Linked DNA regions of Callithrix jacchus. The protein of the gene in region 3 interacts with the protein of the main gene of each other region in a pairwise test. Links are inferred from orthologs where the notes say so. Each region holds a gene or a part of one and is shown on either strand. Other genes may lie near its edges.

Region 1 (7,207 bases), on a different chromosome or scaffold from region 3:
GGCTGAGGTGGGAAGATCACTTATCATCACTTGAGCCTGGGAGGTGGAGATTGCAGATTGCTCCACTACACTCCAGCCTGGACAACAGAGCGAGACTCCTTCCCAAAACAAAAAATAAAGTTTGCATCATCTGAGGGTAATGGTAAGCTTTTACCCACTAGTACCAGGAATCCTGAGCAGGATCCCTGAAGAAGCCAAAGATTATCATGACCCAGAATTTGCAAAGGTGCAGAGAAAAGCTGCCCAACAAGATCAATTCACTTGATAAATGGAAATGGATATTCAAACACACACACCCTATTCACTTAGAATAGTATAACACCAAGGAAAAAGGGAATCTGATAGTTTTAAGATGTCAGAATTCAAAAAGATATCATAGAAATACTCTAGTCAGGCCAGGCATGGTGGCTCACGCCTATAATCTCAGGACTCTGGGAGGTCAAGGTGGGCAAATCACCTGAGATCCAGAGTTCGAGACCAGCCTGACCACATGTTGAAACCCCGTCTCTACCAAAAATATAAAAATTAGCTGGGTGTAGTGGTGCATGCCTGTAAAGCCAGTTACTCTTGAGGCTGAGGCAGAATAATTGCTTGAACCTGGGAGGTAGAGGTTGCAATAAGTCAAGATAGTACCATTGCACTCCAGCCTGGGTGACAAGAGATGCTATCTCACAAAATAAAAAAGTAAAAATTCTTTTTTTTTTTTGTGAGATTGAGTTTTTCTCTTGTTACCCAGGCTGTAATGAAATGGCGCAATCTCAGCTCACCACAACCTTCACTTCCTGGGTTCAAGCAATTCTCCTGCCTCAACCTCACGAGTAGCTGGAATTATAGGCATCCGCCACTATGCCCCATTAATTAATTTTTATCTTTTTAGTAAAGATGGGGTTTCACCATGCTGGCCAGGCTGGTCTCGAACTCCCAACCTCAGGTGATTCACCCACCTCGGCCTCCCAAAGCACTCAAGTGCTGGGATTATAGGTGTGAGCCACTACCCCTGCCTAAAAAAGAAATATTTAGGCTGGGTGTGGTGGCTCACACCTGTAATTCTAGCAGTGAGCCTAGAAGTTCAAGAGTGAGCCTAGAAGTTCAAGACCAGCCTGGGCAATATGGCGAAATCGCATATCTATTAAAAATACAAAATACTGGCCAGGTGCGGTGGCTCACGCATGTAATCCTAGCACTCTGGGAGGTGGTGGATCACCTGAGGTCAGCAGTGTGAGACCAGCCTGGCCAACATAGTGAAACCCTGTCTCTATTAAAAATACAAAAACTAGACGGGCATGGTTGCAGGTGCCTGTAATCCCAGCTACTTGGGAGGCTAAGGCGGGAGAATTGCTTGAACTCAGGAGGCGGAGGTTGCAGTGAGCCAAGATCATGCCACTACATTCAGCCTGGGCAACACAGCAAGGCTGGGCACGGAGGCTCATGCCAATAATCTCAGCACTTTGGGAGGCCAAGGTGCAGATCACTTGAGGTCGGGACCTTGAGACCAGCCTGGAAAACATGGTGAAACCCTATCTCTACTAAAAATACAAAAATTACCAGGCGTGGTGGCTTAAGCCTGTAATCCCAGCACTTTGGGAGGCCAAGACGGGCAGATCACAAGGTCAGGAGATCAAGACCATCCTGGCTAACAGGGTGAAACTCTGTCTTTAAAATAAAAAATAATGATAATAAAAATTTAAAAAAAAAAAAAAAAAAAATATATATATATATATATATATATATATATATATATATATAAATTAGCTGGGTGTGGTGCTTGACACCTGTAACTCCAGCTACTTGGTAGGCTGAGGCAGGAGAATCACTAGAACCGGGGAGGCAAAGGTTGCAGTGAGCCAAGATTGTGCCACTGCACTCCAGTCTGGGCAACAGAGTGAAACTCCCTCTAAAAATAAAAAAAAAATTGCTGGGCATGGTGGCGCACACATGTAATCCCAACTACTATGGAGGGAGAGGTGGGAGAATCACCTGAACCTAGGAAGTCAAGTCTGCAATGAGCCATGTTACTCCAGCTTGGGTAATGGGAGTGAGACCCTGTCTCAAAGGGGAAAAAAATGAGGCGGGGAGCAGTCGTTCACTCCTATAATGCCAGCACTTTGGGAGGCCAAGGTGGGCAGATCACCTGAGGTCAGGAGTTTGAGACCAGCTTGGCCAATGTGGCAAAACCTTGTCCCCACTAAAAAAACACAAAAATTAGCAGGGTGTGGTGGTACACGCCTGTAACCCCAGCTACTTGGGAGTCTGAGGCAGGAGAATGGCTTGAACCCAGGAGGCAGAGGTTCCAACAGTGAGCCGAGATTGCACCACTGCATTCCAGCCTGGGCAACAAGAGAGAAACTCCATCTTAAAAAAAAAAAAATGAAAAAAAGAAATGTTCTAGTTTATCTATTAAGTTGTGAGAATGAACCAATAGGAAAAAAATTAAATATAAAATTTTTTAAAAAGAAACAATCTAGCCTACTGACCTCACTGTCACAGAGGAAGAAGATAAATCTCAGTGTAATGAAATGTATTTGCCAAAAGACAATTATATGACAAGACTTAGCATTCCAAGTCCAGTGGTTTCCCATTGTCCAAATGGTTCTCTCTCTTTTTTTTTTTTGAGACGGAGTTTCGCTCTTGTTACCCAGGCTGGAGTGCAATGGCGCGATCTCGGCTCACCGCAACCTCCGCCTCCTGGATTCAGGCAATTCTCCTGCCTCAGCCTCCTGAGTAGCTGGGATTACAGGCAAGCGCCACCATGCCCAAGTAATTTTTTGTATTTTTAGTAGAGACGGGGTTTCACCACGCTGACCAGGATGGTGTCGATCTCTTGACCTCATGATCCACCCGCCTCGGCCTCCCAAAGTGCTGGGATTACAGGTGTGAGCCACCGCGCCCGGCTAGTTCTCTCTCTTTTTTAAATGTCTACCTCATATTCAAATGACATTCATATTTCTTTTTTTTTTTTTTTTTTTAAACCAAATGGTTCTCAAATATATCCTGCAGAGCAGTTTGGTTTCCAGAGGTGATTTAGGGGTATTGGTAGAAGTAAGAGTCATGCCCCCTTTCCACTTTTAGACAGAGCTGCTCTGATTCATTTTATGCACTGTGCTTCCAAGTAACATTTCACTTCATCGAAGAGGGTACCATCGGCCAGGTGTGGCGCTCACGCCTGTAATCCTAGCACTTTGGGAGGACAAGATGGGTGAATCACATGAGGCCAGGAGTTTGAGACCAGCATGGGTAACATGGAGAAACCCCATCTCCTCTAAAAACATAAAACTTAGCAGAGTACGGTGGTCCACGCCTGTAATCCCAGCAACTCAGAAGGCTGAGGCATGAGAACAGCTTAAACCCGGAAGGTGGAGGTTGCAGTGAGCCAAGATTGCACTCCAGCCTAGGCAACACAGCAAGACTCTGTCTTAAAAAAATAATTTGGCTAAAAGAAATTTGAAAATAATTTCACTATGACATGACAGAGCTCTGTCATCTGGAGGAGTCTGAGATAAAATAGCTGACCCACGTTTAATTGCCCAGTAAAAAACTCTTTATCCTGTAAACACAAGAGCATGGGTGGAAGACAGGGTAGGAAGAGAGGAAGACAATACCCTTCAGCAGGAGGAAAAGGAGCTAACAATTACCTCTAGGTGCTTGGTAGCTTCTTCATTGCGGGACATTAGTAATAGTTTGGTGCGCAGGCTTCGGAAATGCATATCACCCAGCAGAGATGCCCGCTTCACAGGGGCTTCTGTGGTTGACTAGGAGGAAACCAATGGGAAAGTCACGAAAACTGGCTTGGAATACTGCAGGAGAGGCAGGGACCAGGAATCAGTCCTAAATCCCTGGAAAAGGGTTAAGAAATTAAACTAGGAGGCCAGGCGCAGTGGCGCACGCCTGTAATCCCAGCACTTTGGAGACAAACGCAGGTAGATCACAAGGTCAGGAGTCTGAGACCAGCCTGACCAACATGGTGAAACCCCAACTCTACTAAAAATACAAAAATTAGCAAGGTGTAGTGCCATGGGCCTGTAATCCCAGCTGCTTAGGAGGCTGAGGCAGGAGAATCGCTTAAACCCGGGAGGCAGAGGTTGCAGTGAGCTGAGAGAATATGCCATTGCACTCCAGCCTGGATGACAGGGCAAGACTCTGTCACAAAACAAAACAAAAAGAAATGAAGCTAGGAAGGGGGAGTCCCACAAAGGCTCATTATCGGGGTACCAAAGGAAAGTGGTTTTAGAGAGAAAACAAAGAGCAGGACAGGTGCAGTGGCTCACGCTTATAATCCAAGCACTTTGGGAGGCAGAAGCAGACAGATTACCTGAGGTCAGGAGCTCAAGACCAGCCTGACCAACATGGAGAAACCCCGTCTCTACTAAAAATACAAAATTAGCCAGGCATGGTGGCATATGCCTGTAATCCCAGCTACTTGGGAGGTTGAGACAGGAGAATCTCTTGAACCCGGGAGGCAGAAGTCGCGGTGAGCTGAGATCGCACCACTGCACTCCAGCCTGGGCAACAACAGCGAAACGTCATCTCAAAAAATGTATAAATAAATAAGTAAAATAAAAATAAAAATAGAAAGCAAGGAGCAACTGTAAGGTGAGAGCTATATACTTTTTGAAAGTCCAAATATCAAGAGAGGTTCCCCAACCCAGATGGCAACAGGATTATCATGTTTTTAAAAAAGCTCATACATGAGGAAAACTAAAGAAAGGTAAGGCTACCTGGGCCTCTAGGAATCAGGAAAAATAAAGTCCTCTCTGACAAATAAATGTAAGCACATTTAAGCCCTTCCCTTTCTGCATAGGGGTTAAAAGGGGGAAAAAATGTTCAAAGGGCTTGTGTGAAATTCAGGCAAAATAGGCTGGGCGAGGTGGCTCACACCTGTAATCCCAACACTTTGGCGGGTGGATCATGAGGTCAGGAGTTCAAGAACAGCCTGGCCAAGATGGTGAAAACCCATCTCTACTAAAAATACAAAAATTATCTGGGCACAGTGGCAGGAGCCTGTAATCCCAGCTACTTGGGAGACTGAGGCAGGAGAATCACTTGAACCAGGGCAGCAGAGGTTGCAGTGAACAGAGATGGAGCCACCACACTCCAGCCTGGGTGACAAAGTGAGACTTGGTCTCAAAAAAAAAAGAAAAAAAGAAAAGAAATTCAGGCAGAATAAACTCACCAGAATGAAGAGCTCACTATTTGTGATGTTGAGAAAGATGCAGTTGGCTCCCAGGGCTTTCTTGAACTCTTTATGGACGTTTTCATTGGAGCAGCTGCAGAGAAAAAAAGTACTCAGAGGGCAGAATGCAGAAGAGTGAAGAATTCAGGGGAGGTTGGGCATGGTGGCTTGAGCCTATAATCCTAGCACTTTGGGAGGCTAGGGCAGGATGATCACTTAAGGCCACAAGTTTAAGACTAGCATGGGCAACATAGTGAGACCCTGTCTCTATTTAAAAAAAAAAAATTCAGAGAAGAAAGAGCAGGGCTCAGAAAAGAAGAGGGGCCAGGCGTGGTGGCTCTAGTCTGTAATCCCAGCACTTTGGGAGGCTGAGGCGGGTGGATCACGAGGTCAAGAGATCGAGACCATCCTGGTCAACATGATGAAACCCCATCTCTACTAAAAATACAAAAAATTAGCTGGGCATGGTGGTGCGTGCCTGTAATCCCAGCTACTCAGGAGGCTGAGGCAGGAGAATTGCCTGAACTCAGGAGGCGGAGGTTGCGGTGAGCCGAGATCGCGCCATTGCACTCCAGCCTGGGTAACAAGAGCGAAACTCCGTCTCAAAAAAAAAAAAAAAGAGGGACCACAGTTAAAGAACAAGGATGGAAAAATAAAGGAACTGAGTGTCTTCTTAGCAAGAAGGGTTCTAGAGGGCCAGGGGAACAACAGAGAAAACTGCAAAGTGGGAGTGAGGTCTGGGAGAAATCAAGCCAGAGATTAGGACTGTCAAGAGGGCCCTCGTTCCCACCATCCTTAACACTCACGCCTCTCTCAGATCCTCGGGCACAGCCATGGTAACCTTGAAGAAGCTGCCTTTGGTTGCAAGGGGATTGGGATTAACTGGCCGAAGTCGCTCCAAGGTAACAATTTCATTGTAGGTGGCATCACAGGCAGCATATTCAATGACATAGAACTGGTATACGGTAAAAAAGGAGAAGTTGTGGATGACCTGAGCAACTTTCTATTAATAAAATATTTGTTTCAGTAGTGTTCCAAAGGCATTCCCATTCACTCACATCTCCCTTCATCATCCGCACCCGGGCCAGCCACCAGCCACAAGGTTCCTGTTCATTGGCTCGGGAATAAACCTAAAGAAAAGTAGAGAATCAAAGAGATATTGAAGACCATCCAAAAGCATCAAGAAGAAAGATAAGAAGGCTGGGCGCGGTGGCTCACGCCTGTAATCTCAGCACTTTGGGAGGCCGAAGCCAAAGGACTGCTTATGCCGAGGAGTTCAAAACCAGCCTGGGCAACATAAAGAATAGAATAAGCATTAAGATATTTCGGGCTGCTGGGCACAGTGGCTCACACTTATAATCTCAGCACTTTGGGAGGCCGAGGTGGGAGAATCTTAAGCACAGGAGTTCAAGAACAGTCTAGACAACATAGTGAGACCCCATCCCTACCAAAAAAAAAAAGAAAGAAAGAGAGGCTGAGCAGGGTGGCTCATGCCTGTAATCCCAGCACTTTGGGAGGTGGAGGCAGGCGGATCACCTGAGGTCATGAGTTCAAGATCAGCCTGGCTAACACAGTAAAACTCCACCTCTACTAAAAATACAAAAATTAGCCAGGTATGGTGGCACATGCCTGTACTCCCAGCTACTCAGGTGGCTGAGGCAGGAGAATCCCTTGAACTTAGGATGCAGAGTTGCAGTGAGCCAAGATCACATCACTGCACTCCAACCTGAGTGACAGAGCAAGACCCTGTCTCAAAAAGAAAAAAAAGAGGCAGTTGTAGTGCATGCCTGTAGTCCTAACTAAGCAAGAGGCTGAGGTTGGAGGATCACTTGAGCCTGGGAGGTCAAAATTACACTAAGCTGTAATTACACCACTGCACTGTGGCATGGGCAACAGAATGAAAACTTGGCCAGAGGGTTGGGTGCAGTGTCTCATGCCTATAATCTCAGCACTTTGGGAGGCTAAAGTGGGCGGATCAACTGAGGTTGGGAGTTGGAGAACAGGCTGACCAACATAAACCCCATCTCTACTGAAAAT
Region 2 (7,207 bases), on a different chromosome or scaffold from region 3:
CTCACGAATATGCCTTTGATTGGCTGGTGGGTTGGCTGGGGGCTGGAGGGATTGAAAGACTCCAACTGACTCCTCTCTGCTCCATGTGGTCTCTCCTCCTCCAGTAGGCCTGTCTTGGTCTGTTCACATGGTGATGACAGAATTCCAAGAGAGACACAGTATTGAGCAAGGCTTCTAGGCTTGGAAGTGACATAGCATCCCTTCTCCTGTTCTATTAGCCATAGCAAGTCACAAGACCAATACAGATTCAAAGTCACATTGCAGGGGATGTGGACACAGGGAGAAGAAAAATTATGGCCATTTTTGCATTTTGCCACCCAGTTTCAACAGCTATTGGTAATTGCTTGACTGCCTCATGTGGAATAATGATGTAGTAGAATGAGATGTGAAATCTCAGAAATGGGAAGATTCTATTCAAACAAATCAACCCATAAATTTAGGGATCCAGTTTTCCTCTGTAAAAAGAAATTCCCAATAGGAGCCTCTTTTACAACTATACAATCAAAAAACAATTGCTTATTTAGCTGTTCATCTCAAGACTGGTCCATTCCAAAAAATGAGACAAGGCAGCAGACAAAAACATTCAACATGATAGAATGACATAAATAGAAGAGCAAATCAGGCTAAAAGGAAAATTAAGGAAAGAAATACAAAGTCAGGAGAAAGTCCCAAAAACATGTCCTACCATTCTGTATAGTTGCTACGGAGGTAAGCTGCAAATATGACATCTGAGCTCCCTGAGAGACAAAGCAAAGAGGAAAATTACTTCATTATTTGTTATATTATTAACAACGGCAACAAAAAGATAAGACTTGAACCAGTTGCTCACAAGAACAGCTATTTCAGGTTTTTAAGTGTATGAAAAATGACTCATATGGCTCTACAGAAAAGGAACTCCATGGTGCAGTGAATAGAAATACCTGACATTATCCTTTCAAAGTGTCCAAAAACACGTTTCATCTTGACTCCTTCTTATATCTCACAATGAAGAGCCAAAGCATAAGCTGGCAAAAGCCCATTTTTCCAGAGACCACACCCGGACACTGCCCAGGACACTGATAATGGAGAGCTATTCCTGCCCCTTTTCTCTAAAAGTGGGAGGCATTCGCAGAGAGCAAAGAAAACTGGGAGGAGCATAAGGATTAGTCATTTAGATGTATAATCATCTAGTCTACAGAAATCAAGAGCACTTTGCAACCAAACAGATTTGAATTCAATTTGATTTAGAGGCAAACAGATGTGGGTTCACATCTTCTACCAGCTCTGTTGGGCAAAGTGCATCACCTCTCTGTGCTTCTGTTTCTCCATCTATGAAGCGAAATTGCTAATAGTACCTAACCCTAAGATGTGTTGAGGATTAACTGAAATAATGAACACAAATCGTTGGTTCAGTCTGGCAGATAATACAATATGTCACAGTCATAGCGTCCTGTTTAATTGGTACTTAGCATAGGTGCCAATATGCTAAGTGATTTACCTGAATATACTCATTCAATTTACAATTGTATAGGGAAAGAACTATTATTACCTGCATTTTACGGACACGAAAACTTGCCCAGAGAAGCGAAATCATCTGCCAACGTCACACAGCTAGTAAGCGGCCAGGGTAGTAAGCACAAAATAGAAGTTGTTGGTATTATTCTTAACCACTCGTGGGGAGGGGCTTTCACTCTTTGATCTGGGCCCAGTTCCTCTGCCTGGTTTCCAGAAAGAAAAAGATCACCGCCCAGGACCCACTGAATAAAGCACAAGCCTTCTTGAATGACCCAGGCGGACACTTAGCAGGCTCCTCAGAGGCTGTTACCTCTCCCCCAGGTCCTACTCCCGCTCTCCCAGCTATTCCTCCAAGTCTGGCAAGAGGAGCCCACCCAGCAGAAGCTCTCGGTCCCGCCGCAGTCCCAGCTACTCCCGCTACAGTCCCAGCAGGTACCGGCCCCGCCCCTGGCGCTGGTCCCGCCCCTCAAGCTAGGCCCGCCCTAGGCTCCACCCCTTTGCGCTGATTCTCCTCTCTGGCCCCGCCTCCTCGTCCTCGGGCCTTCTACCTCTTAGGTCTGACCCTGACTCAGCATTCTTGCAGGTGCCTTTGCCCAGTCAGGAGTGGCAGCCAGGCGCCAAATATATCCTTGTTTCCTAATGTCTCCAGCCCAAACACTCCTACAGACACACACACCCCAATTCACATGCCCAGCCCTCAGCCTCTACCCACCATCACTCTATTCAGAGCCCCCAGTCCTTACCCAAGCACCAAGGCCCACGTAACATTCACGTCCTCAAACCCCTGCGACACCTGCACCGCTGTGATGCCCACCTGCAAAGGCTGACACCCCTGCACGCGCCCAGCCCCCACCCCTACGGTACTAACCCTCGCAGACTTTTCCCGCAGTCCCGTCATCCTCCTTTCCGTCACCCTCCTTCCCGTCTCGCGTGCGGCTCCATGCAGATCCCATCCCCTGACCCAGTGGGGTGGGAAAGAAAGAAAGTGAGTGTCCCTCTCCCACGAGCTCACGCAGAAAATCCAGCCCAGCCCTAGCTCCCCAGTAACCCCCAGCGCCCCTTCAGGGAGCGGGATCCCAAATACAGCGAGAAGGACTCGCAGCAGCGGGAGCGCGAGCGAGCGCGTCGGAGACGTCGGTCCTACTCGCCCATGAGGAAGCGCCGGAGAGACTCCCCGAGCCACCTGGAGGCCCGGAGGATAACCAGGTAAGGCCAGGGGGCGGGGGGGTCCCACCTTCACCCTCGTTCCACCCCCATTCTTACTCATTTGAGCCTCAGGCTCTCCCTAGGCCTGCTTGGGTCTGGGATTCAGGATGGTGGAAGCTTAAGGTCCCCCAATCCCAACATAATTGAAATTATATGTCTGTTCGAAGCCTCGGGACTGAGTCTCCCATCTCAACCAGCAGGGCCTACCAGAAGAGGACGGGGTGGGGGGTGGGCCACAGGCGGGGCCACCCTGAAGATCCAGTGTGGTCTGGGGGTGTGGTCGAGGCCTGGGGGTGGAGCTGGGGCCGGGGAGGCCGAGCTGGGAGAGAGTGGCGTCAGGCCAGGGAATGGAGGCCAGTCAGTGGGGTAGGACCTTGGCCTCCTAGTGGATCCCGGGCAGTGGAGACAGAGCCTCAGACCTGTACACTCAGCTGTCAGGCTTAAATAAACCTGTATGTAATTATACCTTGAATCAAGTGAGGGGAGGGGTAACAGGATTGCTGGGATGCCAAAAGTACCTTGAGGGAGCCACGGTGGATGAGCCAGAGAGCACTGGATGTGGAGTGGAATCCTGGATGTGCCTCTTTGCAGGTGACCTGGGAAAGGTTCTTACCTTCCTGAGTCTTTTTCTCACCCATGAGATAGTGGAGGAAATAACTCCCAGAAGTATCATAACGATGAAATGAAAAGGGGCAAAAAGATGTGAGCATGCTTTGTAAACTTAAATGCAGAGCACACAATGTGCCATTGTTGTTGATTGAGTGGTCAGAATAGGTGGATATGTTTCCTGGAACAAGTAAGGCCTCAGAAGAGAAGAGCTCTCGCAGAGAAATCTGAGCGCAAGCAAATTTCTTAGGCCTTGAAAGCTGGGAAAATAGCTGAATACTGCCCTAAGATTGGGTTGGGCTCTTGTTTCTGGTCTTCCAAGGATCTGCCACTCAGGCCAGAGATTGGACTGAGGAATCAGGGATCCTCCCTGGAGATGACTTGGAGGAGGAAAAAGAATGTGTGCCCCAGATAGCAAGACTAGAGTGATGGAGTCCCCTTCTCAAATATCTTGCAGACCACCCTGCCTCAGCTTGTAACCCTTGGGAGGCAGAGGTGGGCAGATTGCTTGAGATCAGGAGTTTTAGACCTGCCTGGGCAACATGGCAAGACTCCTTATCTACCAAAAACATAAAACACTAGCCAGGCATGGTAGTGTGCACCTGTGGTCCCATCTACACCAGAGTCTGAGGTGGAAGGATCATTTGGCCCCAAGGGTGAAGGTTGCAGTGAGCTGAGATTGCGCTACTGCATTCCAACCTGGGTGACAGAGCAAGACACTGTCTGCAAAGAATATAATTAATATAATATATATAATTCCTAAACCCACTTCCTTGATCCAACGTCACACGTAAGTGGCCAGGATAGTAAGCACAAAATGGAAGTTGTTGGTATTATTATTATCTATGGGATCAGCCTGGAGGAGAGCTAAGACAGAGTGGCATTTCCAAAAGGCTGTCTAGTTTCTTTAGTCAATCTCAAATAATTCGTCTTGATTAACCCATTCAGTGTTTCCCAATTTTCAGTCATTCAGCAGCATCTTTACCACGTATGCCTTGTCTGCTTATCAACTGTACTATTCTTAATTTTCTTTAAATAGATATGACCCTTTTAAAAGGTTCATACATTTATTTCTAAAGGAAACGATATGCTACAGTAAGTGGAAAATTAGCCTCTTTTGCCATAAATAGATGGTTCTAGTAAAAGTAAAAATAGCAAAACAAAACTATGATTAAAGTTTAGATGTAGATTCTGTTGCAAGCTGGAGGCTTTGAGCCCCAGGCTTGCTTCATGGGGGAAGAAAAGAGTGAGATAATCGTTTTTCAAGACTAGCACTAAGCTGAGACTTTTTACTTTGATGTGTTCTTAGGACCGCAAGAGAACTGGAAAAGGAGGATTTTTTCGGAAGGGACTGGGAAAAGGGAGGATACTGGTTTCCCTTAGGACAAGACTGGGGCTCTGTGCGGGAAGGCTGGGAGGGACCGGCCCTCATCCCTCCTCTCTCTGCTCTCTGCAGTGCCCGGAAACGCCCCATCCCCTACTATCGGCCCAGCCCCTCTTCATCCGGCAGCCTCAGCAGCACCTCCTCCTGGTACAGCAGCAGCAGTAGCCGCTCGGCCAGCCGCAGCTACTCCCGGAGCCGGAGCCGGAGCCGGAGCCGGAGCCGGAGCCGGAGTCGGAGCCGGAGCCGGACCCGCACAAGCAGCAGCTCTAGCTCCCGCAGCCCCAGCTTGGGCTCCCGCAGCCGGAGCCGGAGCAGGAGTCGGAGCCGGAGCCGGAGCAGGAGCCGGAGCTACAGCTCAGCAGGCAGCTACTCCAGCACGAGGCGCTAAATGCCCCTGAGCCAGCTGCCCGTGGGGGCCCCTTCGCGCTGCCAGCCTCCCCCAACCACCTGCCCTCCCCACCTTCTCCTTGGTAACAGATAGTGAGGGCTCCTATACTTGTCCTTCCTGCTTGCCTGGGGGAAGAGGAGAAGAGGGTACGGGGGCTTCACCCTCCAGGTCAAGCTGCTAGGAGCCTCTACCAGCACCATCCTGGGGCCCAGCTCAGGCCTGGGCCTACGGAGAGAACCATCCTCTTGTGGCACAAAAAGAAAAGGAAAGAAAACCTCAAGGTTTTGTAAGAAACAATGGGTCCGTGACTCAGAAATTGAGCCCTGGCCAGGAAAATGTGGAGACCGTTCTCCTCACCCACTGCTCACAGGAGGCCCATGGGAATTCTCCCCACCTCCCTCGATGCTCCCCTCCTCCAACCTCATGGCTGCACGTGGATGGACCCCCATGTCGGAGAGTTGTGGAAGAGGTGATCAGTGGCAGTTCAGGTTCAAGTTAAGGGGGTCAAGCCTGTAACTTCCTCAAACAGGCCAGAGCAAAGGCTGGAAGACACCTGGGTCCTAGAAGAAGAGATATCCTTGAATACCAGACATGGACATTTGACTTGGTGGGAGGTGTCAGGAGATAGGAGATGGGTTCTCTGGTTATGACGATAGATAGCAAAAATGGAAGGGGTCAGTCTGCTGCTCCCAATATCTCAGCACGGTCAGGGCGCAGGGCCCAGCAGATCCCAGCCATGGAGAGGCCACCGTATGGCTGACACAAAACACCTCTTGGCCATTTACAGGGGCCCTGCAACCTCATAAGAAAGGAGATAGTGGGAGAGTCAGGACAGGTTGGTCTCCAGCCCCACTTCCCAAATACGCCTCAGCCCCACTAGCTGGCACCAATTTAATTCCACGGGACCATCTGCTGAATATTCCCCAATGCCATGGCTGGTTGCCAGGCCCCAGCGCCAGCCAGTCTGGCCATACCCTCCAGTGGGTGCCTGCCAGCCCTCTCCCCTCTGCCCTGGCTGCCTTGCCCTGGATGCCACCCAGTGCAGCCTGGCACTTACCCACCCACCTTTCAGGTTATGCCACTCCCCTTGCCTCTCAGGAATTTTGCCAGGATGGGACACAGCAGCTCAGGTTTGGGGGAAAAGACCCAAATCCAGAGTCCAGGGGAGAGGGGCTTGGATGTGCCCTGTCTTGGGCTCCTGCTGGCTTCTGAGGTTTTTTGCCAGCTTGGGAAAGACTCACCTTTATTTCTGCCCTCACCCCAAGTTCCCCCTGCCCGGGGCTGGGCAGAGAGGGTAAGCTGATCTCTGATACACAAATACCACCAGCTGCTTCATCCACAGAAGGCTCTAAGAACAGGGAGGTGAGGAATAAGATCCTTAAAATAAACTCTTGGGCATCCCCCTCACCAGCTGACTGGCTTTCCGGAGGCTTGTGGGTGAGTTTCAAGTTTGTGGTGGCAACAGCAATGGGACAGGGCATGGAGGGAGCCAGGGAGAGAGGACAGATCCAGCTTTTGGATATTTTGGGTTACGGGGAAGCAGGGACCAAACATTCTTTATCCCTCCCACCCCAGGGAAAAGATTTGGAAAACAGTCCTTTCTCTTGGAAGCAGTGACCTCTCCCCTACCCAATCTTTCCCATCCTATCAACCCACGAGGTTAGAGACAGCCATGCAGCCACCACCACGACAGTCCTTCCTCCATCAGGAGAGAGGATCAAGGCCCCCAGGCAGCAGTGGATGACCGGCCTTCCCTCGCCAGGCCTCTGGCCCAGACCTAAGCCCCACCCACAAAGACTAATGGTTGCCAATGCTGTCACCGCAGAAGGCCAGATGGCAGGTGACTGGGACAGGGGCAGGTGCCCTGGGGAGGGCATGTACAGCCACTGTAAATAACCCTCGTCCCTACCCAGGAACCCAGACTGGACTTCAGTCTCCCTCCATGGAGACAAAGGCTTCCCGGAGCCACCAAAAACCTTAGCAGGACAGCTGTGAGAGGCAACGGAGCCTCGCCTTTGGACTGCCTTCATCGAGACAACTCTAGGGGACCATTTTGCCTAGGGCTCCTAGCAAACCTTTTTATTTATTTTATTTATTTGTCTGTTTGTTTATTTATTTATTTATGTGAT
Region 3 (7,906 bases):
ATGAGCTCCGGGATGCTGTCCTCCTGGTGTTCGCCAACAAGCAGGTAGGTGCCCGGGTCAGCCTGGGGAATGTGAGGAGCCAGCGTGATTTCCTCCAGGGCATCTGGTGGTAGGGGTTGTTGGAAGCTGGTGGGGTCCCTTTCTCTGTCCCAGGGACATCCCTTCCCACCAACCCTTCCTTCCCCCAGGACCTCCCCAACGCCATGAATGCGGCCGAGATCACAGACAAGCTGGGGCTGCACTCCCTACGCCACAGGAACTGGTACATTCAAGCCACCTGCGCCACCAGCGGTGACGGGCTGTATGAAGGACTGGACTGGCTGTCCAATCAGCTCCGGAACCAGAAGTGAACGCAATCCCCTCCCTCTCACTCCTCTCACCCTCTGCTTTACTCTCATGTGGCAAACGTGCGGCTTGTGGTGTGAGTGCCAGAAGCTGCCTCCGTGGTTTGGTCACCGTGTGCATCGCACCGTGCTGTAAATGTGGCAGACGCAGCCTGCGGCCAGGCTTTTTATTTAATGTAAATAGTTTTTGTTCCCAATGAGGCAGTTTCTGGTACTCCTATGCAATATTACTCAGCTTTTTTTTATTGTAAAAAGAAAAATCAACTCACTGTTCAGTGCTGAGAGGGGATGTAGGCCTGTGGGCACCTGGCCTCCAGGAGTCGATGTGTTGGGAAAGCCGGGCACGCTCTTGGCTTTAGAGCTGTGTTAAAATCCATTTTGGTGGTTGGTTTTTAACCCAAACTCAGTGCATTTTTTTAAATAGTTAAAAATCCAAGTCGAGAACACTTGAACACACAGAAGGGAGACCCTGCCTAGCATAGATTTGCAGTTATGGCCTGGATGCCGGTCGCCAGCCCGGCTGTTCCCCTTGGGAATGTGAGGCGGTGGCGCGGCAGACCGCGATCAATTCTGCATGGTCACAATAGAGATCCCGCAACTCGCTTGTCCTTGGGTCACCCTGCATTCCATAGCCATGTGCTTGTTCTTGTGCCCCCATGGTTCCCAGGGGCCAGGCTGGGAGCCCACAACCGCCCCCACTCTCCTGCAGGCCGCCCCGCCCACCTTCAGGCAGCCTGTGGGAAACAGGGCCTCACCTGTCCCTCGGTCAGCATGTGGCCAGAGTGAGTCCGTCATTCCCACTGCTCGTGCTCGCTCAGACACTTTGGCAGGATGTCTGGGGTCTCACCAGCAGGAGCGCGTGCAAGCCGGGCAGGCGGTCCACCTAGACCCACAGCCCCTCGGGAGCACCCCACCTCCGTGTGTGACGTAGCTTTCTTTCCCTCAGCCTGCAAGGGTCCGATTTGCCATCGAAAAAGAACCTCTACTTTTTTCTTTTGTATTTTGATAAACACTGAAGAAGCTGGAGCTGTTAAATTTATCTTGGGGAAACCTCAGAACTGGTCTGTTTGGTGTCGTGGAGCCTCTTACTGCTTTCAGTACACGATTGGTAATCAACCGTTTTGTATACTTGTTTTCAGTTTTCATTTCGACAAACAAGCACTGTAATTATAGCTATTAGAATAAAATCTCTTAACTATTTCACCGGCTCTCCAGTGTTTCTGCACAGGCAGACTGCCCCCAGGAGACGGTGGGTGGAGCGGCCAGCTTTAGGAGTGCAGGTGACTGCGTAGGGCCACCACCTGAGTCCACATTCCCTCTCCTGAGTGTGCAGGAACTTCCCTGTGTCTGTGTGAGAGGCTCTTCCACCACGATTGCCCACAGTAACCTTGCTGCTCTCTGCTTGCAGTCCTGTTGGGCCCAGCCAGTGAGACCTGGGCCATACAGGACAGGAGTCAGCAGGCACTATATAAGACCTCAGCCTCCCTCCCTCCCATCAGCCTGCTGGCTGTGGGGCTGGGCCACTGCCAGCATACATGGTGCTTTGTGCCAGCCGGGGAATGGTCCCTGCCTGAGTGGGCACAGCCCCCACCTCTCCTCAAAATGTCATGAAGCAGAGGGCTGCCAGTCTGGGGGTACTTCTATGGGGTGTAGCCATCAGCAGGTCCAAGGTCTGTGTTCTGTTGGGCAGAGTCCCAAAAGGTGAGGATGTCCTGGCCAGGTGGCCCGACCTTCATCCCCCTTGACAGTGCCCAAGACAGATAGTGCCATCTCCACTCCAGTGGCTATGTGAGGGCAAGGGCAGAGGTCAAAGCCACAGGAGCCACACCTTGGCCAGGGCCCTAAGGAAGTTTTCTGAGACTGCAGTGAGCCGTGATCCAGTCCAGGTGCCCACACATGTCCTGAACAGCCCTGACTCTTCTCAGGGTCAGGCAAACGGGACACCTAGCCCACTGCCCTAGAAGAAGCAGAGCTGAGGGTTGAGGCAGCTGGGTCTTGGCAGGCAGGTAGAGTCCCCAAACCTCACTCAACTGAGGTTACCCCTCCAGACTCTGCAGTCCTTGACCTCACCTGTCCCAGGTCCCCACATTGCCAGCTGAGCACCCCTTTCCAGGGCCTCAGCCCTCCCTGGGTATGGGTAGGGTTTTGGGCACCCATGGGAGGACTGCATTCTTGGACGTTAACGAAGCATTAGGGCGCAGCTCCATCCTGGGATCTCGTTAACTCCTGATACTGACCTTCCAATTAGGATGATACACCTTTCTTTTAAAATATATTTATTGAAATATAGAGTCAACGTAAGGAAAAATAGAGATCACCGTATTTGGCCACAGGTAGATTGCTCATAGGCCCATGGCTGCTACAGCCATGAGCAGGACACGGGGAGTCCAGCCTCTACGGGTACCTGTGGGCAGGCTCACCTTCGCAGGGCAAGCCAGGGGCCATCCCTGCTGTGCGAAACCTGGAGGTCTTCCAGGAAGCTGGCTGCTCCAGAGCTAGCTGTGCAGCCTTTACCCCACAGGCTGGTGCCCAGAGCCACTCCACAGGAGCAGCCTCAGGTCTCACCCACACAAGGGGCTTTCCTGAGGCAGGAGGCAAGCAAGGTGAAGGGAGAGTTCCAGTTCCCACAGTAGCAGTGAGCAGGGTCCAACCATCAGACTTCAGAGTCTGTCATGCCGCCTGCAAGATGGGCTCCTGTCCCCACTGTGTCCCCGCTTCCTCCTCTTGCAGCAGGGGAAGTCGGAGTCACAGTCATGGTGGCAGTGCCTGGGCCTGGGAAGACCAAGGGCAGTCACTCATAGAGGTGGGGGTCAACCAAACCCCTACCCCCAAGACATGGGCCAGGGCATACTTCTCGGGAGATGTGGGAGAGGTGGCGGCCTCAGCTGGTCGCCTGTCTCTGTCTTTCTTTTTCTCTTTTTTGTGTTTCTTCTTTTTCTTTTTCTTCTTCTCCTTCTTGCTTTTCCTGTGGCTTTCAGAGCTGGGAGGGTACAAAATGCGCCTCAGAGAGTGAGCACAGGCAGGTCCCATCCAGGAGATGAAGCCACCACCCACAAATGCATCTTTAAATCAGTTAAATGAGATTACAGATTTCGCTCCTCAGTCACGCAGTCACATGGCCACTGAGACAGATGCAATATCCCTATCTCGACTGCATGGCCCTGTTCCACTTGAGCTGTGCCCTTGCAAGGTGACACCTTCCTCGTACCTGCACCCACAGGCCACTCCTGGGGTTACAGCCCAGGCTCATTACCCAGGAAAATCCCTCGAGGTGCCACCCACGCAGAAAAAGGCTCCTGCCCAGGTCATGAGTGCCCTCCTACAGCACAGCCCCCAACCACTGCCATTACTTAGGACCTCCCTTCAAGGGTGACCCGAGAAACTCCGCTGGGGAAAAACCTAGGAGTAAGAGACAGGAAGGAAAGTAGGGCAGGCCACCGCCAAGGCCGGTGCGCAAAGAGAAGCTGCCACCTGCCTGCCTAGGAGCCGCTCCAGTCCTCCCGAGATCCCCCGGGGCGGCCTCACCTGCTTTCAGTCTGAACCTCCGCCCGTGGCTTCCTCCTGGCCGAGGCTGCTGAAGTCCCGGGCCCGCCGCTCTCCACGCGGTGGTGCTGCAGATGAAGCGCGCTCTGGGGAGAAGTGTGCGGGCCGGCCCCACACCACGCCCCGCAGCGCCCCAGGGAGCTCCGTGCCATGCCGTGCCCTGCCCGTCCCACCCCTGTGGGCCCCGATGCGATCAGGCGAGGGGTGGGGGGTGGTTACCGTGAACACAGACAGCCCCAGTTTGGCGGCCTCCTTGTCCTCTCGCGACAGCGCCACGCGGCCTGCGGAGCCACTGCAGTAACACAGCGATCAGGACAGTCCGGCAGGGGCCCGCCTCACCCGAGTAACCGAGCCCACACAGACCCTCCCTCCCCACGAAACCGGCCCACACCTGGTGCTCCCCAGCCCCAGCAGCCGGTCCACGCCCTTCTCCTCGGGGTCGCCTCCTTCCCGCTTGCAGACCTCCGCAAAGTCCTGCAGGTGGGGGAGCAAAGGGAGCTCTCGGGACGGCCCCACACCCACGGCCCTCCACGCGCCCCCACCCCGGGGAGTTACCTCCTTGCTCAGGCCCGTGGGCTGCTTCTTCACGTTCTTGTAGCCACTGAGAGGAAATCGAGGCAGGCGTCAGGGGAGTGAATCTCTTCCCAGCACGCGTCCTCACCACTCCAGCCTTCGTCCTGAGGGCCCCGCCCGAGCGAGTCCCCGCAACTCCGCCCCCGCCCAGCCGGGCCCCCAGCCTTCACCCCCGGCCCCAACCAGCCTCCGCCGCGCGGTCCCAAGCCCCGCCCGCTGCTGCCCGCCGACACTCACAGCGCGGCCAGCAGCGCCTCGCGCTCCGCCTCCCGCACGGCTGCCAGCTCCTCCTCGCGGCTCGGGCCCGCGCACGGCGCCCGGCCCTTGGCGTACCAGGTGAGGTCGCGGCCCTTCTGCCAGCGGCCTACGGGCGCCATCAGCGAGTTGCCTGCGGACGTAGGCGCCGTGAGTCCAGCGCCCGCCAGGGAGCCCGGAGCCCGGAGCCCGCCCGCCGCGCCCACCCACCCAGGTAGTTCTCCCGCTGCTTGTCAGTCTTCACGTCCTCCCAGTTGAACTGATCCTGACCGCCGCGCACGCCTCCGCGACTGGAGCCGAACATGGTGCTGGGGCGACCGTGGCCTGCGGCCGGCGACCTGAGACCCCGGACCCGCTACCCTCTACCGTCGGACCCTGGGCCGACCCCGCCTCCGCGTTGCGCGCCGTAACGTCACTCTTGAGCCCGCTCAGCTTCGTCCCGTGCGCCTGCGCAGCGCACTGTCCCGGCTCAGCGCTCTGGGCCCCGGCGGAATGCACCGCCCTCGCGCGCCTGCGCACTGCTGCACCGGCCCTGCCCGGCGGGGGAACGACTTTGAACTGGACGTTTAAAAAGGATTGAAATGGGCCGGGCGCGGTGGCTCAAGCCTGTAATCCCAGCACTTTGAGAGGCCGAGGGGGGCGGATCGCTTGAGGTCGGGAGTTCCAGACCAGTTTGGCTAACATCGTTAAATCCCGTCTCTACTAAAAACACAAAAATTATCTGGGCGTGGTGGTCCACACCTGTAATCCCAGCTACTCAGGAGGCTGAGGCAGGAGAATTGCTTGAACCCGGGAGGTGGAGGTTGCAGTGAGCCGAGATCGCGCCAGTGCACTCCAGCCTGGGCGACAGAGGGAGACTCTGTCTCCAATAATTGGAAAAAAAAAAAGGTTAAAATGGGCAGGACAGGAGCGCGCTTAGTCCCAACGGGACTACGGGAGGATCACTTGAGCCCATGAGATCCCTGTCTCGTTTAAAAAAAAAAAAAAAAAAAAAAGAAAGAAAGAAAACTCCTAAGACAGGCCTAGCTAACACCATCAACTGGTTGGTCACCGCCGGCCGCGATTCCGTATGGGGCGCCTAACAAGGGAATGCCCTTAATGATTTGTGCAGTTTCTGAGAATTACCCAGTGAACTTGTGGATGAAAAAGCAGCTGCCCAGGCGCCCTCAGAGCTGGTCCTGTCCCCGCTGCGGTAACTGAATGTGCACATGTGAAATCCTCACCCCAAGGCGCTGGTGTTTCAGAGGTGACTAGGTCAAGAGGGCAGAGCCTTCTTAAAGGGACTCCAAGGGCTTGTGCAGCTTTCCACTGCGTGAAGGCGGCGGGAAGGTGTGGATGGGAGACCCCGCAAGGGCCAAGGCAAGGAAGGCTCTGAAGCCTCAGCCTGTTCCCATATAAATATTGAACTAGAAAAGAATTAGCGATATAGTCACAGTTATTCCTATAATCATAATCACATATGCATATGTAATCATATATATATATACTCAATATAACCTTTTAATTTTGCTGATGATTCTCGGGCCATGAAGCATGGAACTGAAGTAACATTGTGAAAGAGGTGACCCTAGAGCAAGGTGCTCTAAGCCCTCTGTCACACCTGCTTAAGGGCTGCTGGAAGGCACCTCGGCTGTGCGGCAGCGCCAGCATTAGCGCTGGGAAAGCGCCCGCTGTTTAGCCAGCTAGGGAAGGAGACGTCTGACATGTCTCCTCCCTTGGAGGACTTAGGAGAAAACTCTGCTCCCCGCAAGCTCTTGCGGTAGGCCTGGTGGCTGTCAGGGAGGCCTGCAGACATTCAGGGGCTTAACCGTCTCTATGCTGTGCTGTGCCTCAGCGGTGACGTTCCATGGCTACCTTCATGTTCCGCTTCTGCACCTGGTTCCTCTTCTTGGATTAGAATGAGTAAAAGTAACATAAATTTTAATGTCTTTGTTCTTTCTCGACAAGTATGAAGAAGTGCTGATGCATTAGGTTTTCTCCTCGCCTCCTCCACTTTAAGGACCTGGGCCCCGATCTCCAAGACACGTGATTTACCTGACCCTATCACTGACCGCCACTGCCTCACCCTACCTACCCGGCCCTCTGCTTTGTACTCAATAAAAGTCAGAGTGTCCAGCCACTCGGGGCCACTGCTGGTCTCCATGTATACTGGTTAGCAGTAGACCCCTGGGCCCAGACTTTTTTCTATCTCAGCATCTTGTGTCTTTTATTTCCAGTTTCTCATCTCTGCGCCAGTAGAGAGGGGCTCAAAGGACCCTATAGGGCTGGACCCTGTAGGAAGAAAGTGTGCAGTCTGGAAGAGACCCCTCACTAGAACCTCAGCATGCTGGGCACCCTGGTTTTGGACATTGTGGCGTCCCCCTGCTTCCCCCTTCACTTCATTCCCAGCGCTGACCGAGAAAGAGTCCCTTGGCTGCTCTGTGACCTGGGCAGCGATGTTTTCCTCTGCAGACTGAACCCGCGCAGCAGCCTTGAATGTTGCCAGGCACAGATGAAAGCATCTAGGTTGTTTCTCAAAACAGAAACTGGACCCAGCCTGAGCCTGCTTTCTTAAACCCTCATAAAAACTTCATTCTCCAACTCCCTCCCCGCGGATATACCTAGAGAACATTCATTTCACTGCCCGTGGAAGAACTGCTGCAGTCCGCTCTGTACGGAAGCTCTCGATAAATGCTCTGAGCACATCACCCTGGTGTGCTCAGTGTTTCTGTTGAATCCTAACCGGCCCCACCTCAGGATGGTGTGGGGCACTCCCTTGTGGGAACCCTCCTGCCACGACTTTTGGGGCAATTCCAGCCACAGGTTGAACTGGGTGAAAACACAGGTCTAGTGTCCAGAACTGTGCGAAATCTGTTTCTCAATGACCCAGCCCATGGGTCAGGCTGTTAGCACACCTGGCAGACGGCCCACATCTGGCTCATCCATCTACTCAGCAAGTACCAGCTGCCGTACGCCCCACTGCGGTGCTGCCTGAGTTCACATCATGGAGCAGGTGCATGGAGAGGGCAGAGCAGCAGGCCACATCCAGGCACACTGAAGGCCACTGGTCAACTCCTGGGAAGGCTCCCTTGGGTGGAGGGCATCATCTCCTGGGTGCTGGTACGGCTTGCCACATCAGGGTGGACTTGGCCGACGTGGCAGAGTTCGGCTGTGGAGTCTGACCCCTGACTGGATGTCAGGTATGGTGAAGG

The links.
Region 1: the proteins of C19H1orf35 (region 3) and FXR2 interact in binary tests that used the Homo sapiens proteins (3 or more experiments, as listed by UniProt). The two-hybrid records come from large-scale screens. The link is inferred for Callithrix jacchus from reciprocal best matches to the Homo sapiens genes C1orf35 and FXR2.
Region 2: the proteins of C19H1orf35 (region 3) and SRRM4 interact in binary tests that used the Homo sapiens proteins (3 or more experiments, as listed by UniProt). The link is inferred for Callithrix jacchus from reciprocal best matches to the Homo sapiens genes C1orf35 and SRRM4.

What each region holds. Positions count from the first base shown.
Region 1 is NC_133506.1:74,095,780-74,102,986, forward strand, and holds part of FXR2 (RNA-binding protein FXR2), read right to left. Parts: intron 6,301-7,207; coding exon 6,229-6,300; intron 6,126-6,228; coding exon 5,977-6,125; intron 5,265-5,976; coding exon 5,171-5,264; intron 3,750-5,170; coding exon 3,633-3,749; intron 1-3,632. UniProt on the Homo sapiens protein: mRNA-binding protein that acts as a regulator of mRNAs translation and/or stability, and which is required for adult hippocampal neurogenesis. Specifically binds to AU-rich elements (AREs) in the 3'-UTR of target mRNAs.
Region 2 is NC_133510.1:122,263,848-122,271,054, forward strand, and holds part of SRRM4 (serine/arginine repetitive matrix protein 4), read left to right. Parts: intron 1-1,815; coding exon 1,816-1,926; intron 1,927-2,559; coding exon 2,560-2,700; intron 2,701-4,762; coding exon 4,763-5,078; 3' UTR 5,079-7,207. UniProt on the Homo sapiens protein: Splicing factor specifically required for neural cell differentiation.
Region 3 is NC_133520.1:38,922,832-38,930,737, forward strand, and holds C19H1orf35 (multiple myeloma tumor-associated protein 2), read right to left. Parts: upstream 5,110-7,906; 5' UTR 5,020-5,109; coding exon 4,926-5,019; intron 4,849-4,925; coding exon 4,698-4,848; intron 4,489-4,697; coding exon 4,443-4,488; intron 4,362-4,442; coding exon 4,279-4,361; intron 4,180-4,278; coding exon 4,107-4,179; intron 3,956-4,106; coding exon 3,870-3,955; intron 3,325-3,869; coding exon 3,196-3,324; intron 3,117-3,195; coding exon 3,005-3,116; 3' UTR 2,604-3,004; downstream 1-2,603. Other genes in the region: ARF1 (ADP-ribosylation factor 1), read left to right, coding at 1-44, 189-350.